Linked DNA regions of Caenorhabditis elegans. The protein of the gene in region 1 interacts with the protein of each later gene in a biochemical or structural test. Each region holds a gene or a part of one and is shown on either strand. Other genes may lie near its edges.

Region 1 (3,930 bases):
AAAAAAGCTTTTCTCCGAGATTTAAGCAAAAAATAAATTAAGATTTTCCCCAACTGTGATCAAAACTATGTCATTCCCCCTCCCCTTTGCAAGGGATCCCTTTTCCAAAATTTACGCACGGGGAGCAGAAGAAGTGCTTGCTATTTTCACACTTCTGAAAAGCTCCATCCATACTATTTAAAGTATAGCAAACACTTCTAAAATTTAATCCAATGACCCGAGTTATTCAACTACTCAAACCACACCGCTGCAGCCGACAAATCCGGGGCGCGCGAGTGCCACCGCCCGTCACCTCTACTTCGCCACCCCACTGACTGCTGCAAGCGTCTGCGCTACACTGGGTTTTGTCGGCTGCAGACTTATGATATAATTTCCAGAGTTTTAGCTCATTTATCCGGGGTAGCTCTAAATTGACGGTTGGCGTCACCTTTTCGGAGGGCAAAGGAGATTTCCGATATGAAGGTTTATACAAGAGAGCCCCGTTATATCTCCTGTCTAGCAAATTTTGGAAAAAAGGACCTCTTGAGAAAGGGGTCCGAAAAAAAAATTATTTCTTTAAATAAAATTTTTTCATGATGGGATTTTTTTAAAGATCCTAAAGTGTTATATCCTATTTGAAGAACTATGGAAAACTCAAAAAAAAAATTAACTTTTGCAACAAAACAAATTTTCGAAAAGAAACCAGGAAATGCATTCCCTTTTGCATATAATGTGACAAGAACAGACAGAAGATGTCAATCACATGTCTGAAAAAGTGAAAAGAAAAAGAACGCGTAGAGTACAGACTGAACTTGAATGAAAACTTCCAAGATTTTATTTTTAGTGTTTTGATGTGTTACTTTGTCAGCTGTCAGGAGAGGGTGATTTTCAGTTTTTGTTCAACTAGTTCCACCTTGTTTTCTGTTTTTTTTTTCAACAAAAATTCAAAGAATAAACTTTGTCAGGTACAAGAAAATATAGGGTTTTAAATAGACCTTCCAAGTAGTCACAAAAATGTTGCCTGCCACTTTTTCCTACGGCCGGAGAAGGTGCCCGGAGCAGGTTCAAATTTCAAAAAATAAAGGTAAAATGTTTTGAAGGCAGGCAGGCAAGGAGGCAGGCCTATACAATTTTGAAATGAGTTTATGGAAAACTGGGACACATTTAAATAAAAAAGGAGATGTTTGAGCAGAAATATACGAAGAAATTCCAAAATCAATCGTTCACTTAGAAAAAAACATATGCACAATTAGAAAAAAAGTCGGATTTAATTTTCTCAATGAAAAAACTCAGAATTTGTTTCAAAAAATTCACCATTTATCACGTAGTGGCTGATTGGGTGCGCGGAAATCGGCACATCCGGAAATTGCCGGTTTTGGAAACTTTCGGCAATCGGCAATTTCGGCAATTGCCGGTTTTGGAAACTTTCGGCAATCGGCAATTTTGGCAATTTCCGAAGTTGCCGATTGACGGACATTTTTGACAATTTTCAAACACTAATTATATTTCGGAAATAGAAAAAATTTCACCTTAGCGGGAATTCAATTTGTTTTTAACTTTTTAAATTTTTTTTGCAAAGTTGAAAGAATCATACAACTTTAGAAAAATTTTATAAATTTATTACAGTCTATCTACAATTTGAAAAAAAATGCCCAAGCGAGGCCAGCTGAAAGACTTCAGCTAGTACTAACTCACGAGTGATTTGTTTTGACTGACAAATACAGTGAAAACAACAGTGAATTAAAGTTAAAAACTGTGAAATTTAGAGGTTTGAGGAGCATAAATAATCAGTTTTTAACTTTGATAACGACTGATAAAAATCTGAAAAACAAATCATCTCACCTCACTAGTTTGCATTTGTCGTTTGGCAATTGCATTTGCAATGGCTTGACCTATCGAGAATCGGTCCCTCATTTTTTGTGGATCTGCTGCAAAAATATGAATTTTTAGACTTAAAAATAAGCAATTAAACTAGAAAAAAACCATTTCGATAGGCATATAAAATGCAAAAAATATGGAAGATGGTGAGGGGATGTGAAGAAAATTGAAAAATGAAATAACGGAAGCAAAAAGTTGATTGAGAGCAAAAAAGTGATGGGGAAGGATAGGAAAACAAATCAAAGTCATGCACACATGGAGACAATTGGATAAATAGATTGTTGGAAAAAGTGCAAGTTTATCAGTTTAAGGGTGTTCTGAACTAGGAAAAATGGTAGAAAAATGAATAAGGAAATTCTCGAACGCAGTTCGTGCAAAGTTTAGAGAACGTTTTTTATTCTTTGAAAAATAGGGTAGTAGACCAAGGGTGCGCGGCAAATCTCAAAATTTCCGGCAAAATCGGCAAATTTGCCGCACACCCCTGTTGCTTATCTATAGTCCGATCCATATTTCTAATTTGATACATAACAACCTACAGTTTTTTTGCTTTGCTATGCATCGCTCCGTCTTTCTGTGTGTAATTCTAGTCCCAGCCGCCGAGAAGCGGAGATAAGCGGAAGGACTGTAGGTTGCAATGTACCAAGTGATAGATATAGATTGTACTATAGACTACAAGCTGTGTGGTATAAAGATGTCCATCTATTGTGTGATCTATGTCTGTTACTTGGTACATATCGACCTACAGGTTTCCCACCTTTGCTCTACCGCCCAGCGTCAAGGCACTGACACACAAAAACAGGGAGGGACACAGAGTAATTCAGAAAGACTGTAGGTCACCAATGTACCAAGTTTGGCAAATTCGGCAAATTTGCCGCACACCACTATAGTAGACCTACTCGGCATTCGCCGCCAGCTTTTTGTCCATGTTTCATAGCTTATAATCCAAGTTTTGCTCAAGAAAAATTAACTTGGATTAGAAGCTGGCCAAACTTGGGCCAAACTTGGGCGATGCGTCATAAAAGGAAAAAGTCAACCGCTGCGTAGCCCACTTTCACTCAGCCCAAGTCTTGCCCAAGTTTAGCCCAAGATTCACCTGTGTGTTGAACTCCGATCGTATTTCCCGGTTTGCTGATCTCTTACCTGTTGAGCCATGATGGTCGCGCAAGAATATTTTATTAATTTCAATATTAATATTGCAAACCGTTTTTTCTACTTACGCGTAGCCATTCTCATGGGTTTAAGCAGTCAGTTCTGTATTCGATAGTGTTAAATCATAATTGATGAAATTCAGTTTTTCATTGATACCATTTTTCTTCAGAACCCAAAATACTGAACATTCTATCAAGTATCAAGTATCAAGTAAATTCTCGAGGGGTCAGTATTTCAGAAAAGCTTTTCGAGTAGTTCGAAATTTTGATTAAATGATCGGAGAATAAAAACTTTTAGCTATCAAAAATTGATTTTAAAAAGTTAAATTCAAATTTAATCACAACAGAAAACATTCTTCACGAATTTGCTTTAAATGCTGCAGGTAAATGCCGAGTAAGTGCCTACGTGCCTGTTTACCTGCCTACAACTTGGCGTAGTTTGAAGGTTGGTAGACATTTATGTTTGTGCCTGCATGATGGGCAATCAGTGATTTTAAAACTTTTTCTAATGCTGAAAAATAAGCTTCCTGCTTTGTGCCTTCATACCTGCCTACCGCCTATTTTTTTAAAATAATTTTTTGGTGAACTGTAATGGTTTTGAGCTGCGTTTCAATTAACTTGTATAAGCTTAAATTAGGTGAATAACAACATTCAAAATATTTTTTAAATAGTTCACATTAATTTTAGTAGGTAGGCGTAGGTAGGTGTGCAGGTACAAGGCAGGCAGTTCACCTTTCTTTTGATTTTAAAGCAAGTTGTTCAGCTTTCAATATGCTAAAAGGGCAAACACAGACAGGTCTCCAATTTGCCTACCTTCCTGCCTTCCTACCGTTCGGCAGGCGTAGGTCGCCTTGTAGGCATGGAGGGGGAACTTTCGTGTTTACCTTTAAAAAACAACATTTTTTTATTCTAATTTTTCAAGTAT
Region 2 (3,303 bases), about 13 Mb from region 1:
TGGCCGGAGTGATTCCAGGTGTGCAATTCCGTTAGCGTAATTTTTTTAAATTTATAAATAACCATTTATAGCTTCCGGTCAGGTTCTTTCTCATTAAAACCACCACATTTTTGGTAAAGATTTTTATTTTAAAATAAACAAAAAATTCCCTTTTTAGAATTCAATTTTCCGATTTTTCAAAAAAGAAACCACCGAAAAAATCGGGTTGTCCCATTACGGTTTGATCTACAAAAAATGCGGGAATTTTTTGCCAAAAAATGTGACGTCAGCACTTTCTTAACCATGCGAAATCAGTTGAGAACTCTGCGTCTCTTCTCCCGCATTTTTTGTAGATCAACGTAGATCAAAGCGAAATAAGGCACTCTGGCACCACGTGGTGTGGCAAATGAAAATTTTTGGAAATTTGGCAATTATCAAGCTCGAAATTTATGGGAAAAATTCCCGAAAAATGAGAAAAAACAACATTTCTGAATACTGTAGAAATGATTTTTTTTTTCGGGGATTAAATAAAACGTTTTCCCCCGAGTGTCCCATTACGGTGTGATCTAAAAAAAATGCGGGAAACAAGACGCAGAGTTTCGAACTGTTGTCGCACGGCTAAGAAAAATTCCCGCATTTTTTGTAGATCAAGGCAGCCTGGCACCACGTGCTATCTGTGAGAAATTCTGCAATATCATTCACCCTTAAAAATAGAATTTAACAAATGAATTCATTCATCAAACGATTGAGAAATAATGAATAACGAGAGAATGGACCAGTTTATAAGAGAGAGAAAAACGAAACGAAATGCAAATTTAAACAAATTCAAATTCAAATAATCGTTATCATTTATCTCCGTCCAATTCTCATAAGTGTTCCCAAATTACAGCTCTCACACGGCACAACACCTTCATTTGGAAATTGTACGTATTCCTGTTGTCGAGACATTTGTCGCTTTCCGATTCTCATCATGTTTGACAAACTACCACGTTTAAGGGCTTGGAATGGGGGACGCATTACACTAAAAAAAAGAATGGAAATTAGAGATTCTCGAGTTTCACGTAAAAAAGTAAAACTTACTCCTGATCATTTTCAAAGTTAGCTCCAAAAACATTGAATACCAAAACCAAAAGGCAGAAGAGAATTGACTTGCTGAACATATTTTCTGTGAAAAAGCCTGACTTTTTCGCGAGAAAAAAGTCTCGAAATGTCGATTTAAATGGCTCATCTCACTATTTATATTTCAATTATAGCGAGCTATCAAGGCTATTAAGTGAGACGAGTAATTATATCTAGAGTTATTATATAGCTTTTCTAATTAAGTGCGACTCAAAAACTCAAAAACGTCACCCCCTCATCCATTCCCGTAATAACCTAGATAAATAAATAAATAATAAGTTTTTGAGATAATAGGCTGCGAAAAAACATATAGATTAGGAAAACTTTTGAAACATCAAAGTTTTTTTTTCCGTTCATCGTTCACCTTTTGGAATTTTGCACAGAAAATCGTTTTGAAAATATATTTTAGATGAATCGAATCGAGAGAATTTTGGAGGGATTCGATCCGGTGAGCAATGGACTTGATGAAGATTTTGTGCTCACAAAGTTGACTGGAATGAAGGGTTGTGGGTGTAAAGTTCCAAGGAATGTGCTCCTTCAATTGCTCCAAACTTTTAAAACTGATTTAGTCATTAATAATGATGAAGTTGGTGAGTTTAATTGAAAAATTGCTCAAAACAGGAAGCTCATCCAACAGAAAAAATTCAAATTTCGTTTTGAACTTTGAAAATCAAAACAGAATGTACATTTATTACGGGAACATAAAATTCCAAGAATGCGTACTGCACAACATATTTGACGCACAAAATATCTCGTAGCGAAAACTACAGTAACTATTTAAATGAACTACTGTAGCGCTTGTGTGTCGATTCACGGGCTCGATTTTTAGAATGAATGCCCGTAAATCGACACACAAGCGCTACAGTAGTCATTTAAATAGTTAATGTAGTTTCCGCTACGAGATATTTTGCGCGTCGAATATATTGTGCAGTACGCATTCTCAGAATTTTGTGTTTCCATAATATCTGATATTCAGAAATGCCTTCTATTCTATTTAAATAATTTTTTTTTTAAACTCAAATTCCCTTCCAGACATTGGTCTCGATAGTTGCGTAATTCCACTCCGTCATCCGGGTCTTCGACTCGTACAAACCACTGATTTCTTCTATCCACTCATTGATGATCCATATATTATGGGACGTGTAACATGTGCCAATGTATTGTCTGATTTGTATGCAATGGGAGTTTCCGAGTGTGATAATATGCTTATGCTGCTCGCAGTGGCTATTGATTTGAACGAGAAGCAGAGAGATATTGTCGTTCCGTTGTTTATTCAGGGATTCAAGGTAGTTTTCAGTTGAGATTGTTATGGAGACGCAGAAAAATTATTCGCGATTTGAAATAGATCAAAACATCCCACCCCCAAAAAGTTGGGTCTCGTTAGGTATTCACGTGTATCTGGCTAGACCCCCCTCTCCAAAATTTTGCAAAAGGGCGGGAAAAAATATTTGAAATCGCAAGAGGAATTTTCACGCAGCGCGTTGAAATAGTGTATGCATTTGCGCGTGACGGTGTTTGCACAAAATACACCGAGGGGTCGAGCCAGAACACGGCCCGAGAAGTGGTACCTGTACGCAATTTGTCTACCGTACACCTGGACGTTTGGGCGCGTTTTTCTCAAAAACGACTGGTCCAGTTTTTTTGTGATGCATATAAAAAATGTTCGAAATTAAATTCAAAATTTTTTGGACCAAAGCTTTTTTCCTTAAAACGCGCCCAAACCTGGCTAAACTGCAATTATCAGTAGAGCGCGTTTACACTGATGTACCCTTTGCCGGGCCGTGCAGAAACCCGTGGGTATTTGGCGACAAAATCCTAAATTCAAACGTTTCGAGCATTAAATTTTCTGCCAAAAACAAATACGAAAAACTTCAAAAATTCCAGGATGCAGCTGACGAAGCAGGCACAAAGATCCGTGGTGGCCAAACAGTCCGTTGTCCTTGGCTTCTGCTCGGCGGAGTTGCCACTTCAGTTGCTCATGAATCAGAAATCATAAAAGTAGATCAAGCAGTTCCTGGAGATGTTCTGATATTGACTAAACCAATTGGAGGCCAGGTTGCCGTGAACTCGTACGAATGGATCAAAAAGAAGAACGGAAAAATTGAAGAGCTCAATCTAGAAATTCCAAAAATCGAAAAAGCATTCAAACAAGTCTGCGAGCAAATGAGCCGTTTGAATAGAAATGCGGCGAAGCTTCTTCACAAA

Evidence for each region.
Region 2: the proteins of npr-37 (region 1) and nlp-17 interact in a test that uses a peptide from one of them, tested with the Caenorhabditis elegans proteins (one large-scale study listed by BioGRID).

What each region holds. Positions count from the first base shown.
Region 1 is NC_003282.8:479,261-483,190, forward strand, and holds the start of npr-37 (G_PROTEIN_RECEP_F1_2 domain-containing protein), read right to left. Parts: upstream 1,908-3,930; 5' UTR 1,894-1,907; coding exon 1,822-1,893; intron 1-1,821.
Region 2 is NC_003282.8:13,504,572-13,507,874, forward strand, and holds nlp-17 (Neuropeptide-Like Protein), read right to left. Parts: upstream 1,172-3,303; 5' UTR 1,140-1,171; coding exon 1,060-1,139; intron 1,001-1,059; coding exon 829-1,000; 3' UTR 699-828; downstream 1-698. Other genes in the region: seld-1 (putative selenide, water dikinase), read left to right, coding at 1,508-1,688, 2,131-2,384, 2,983-3,303.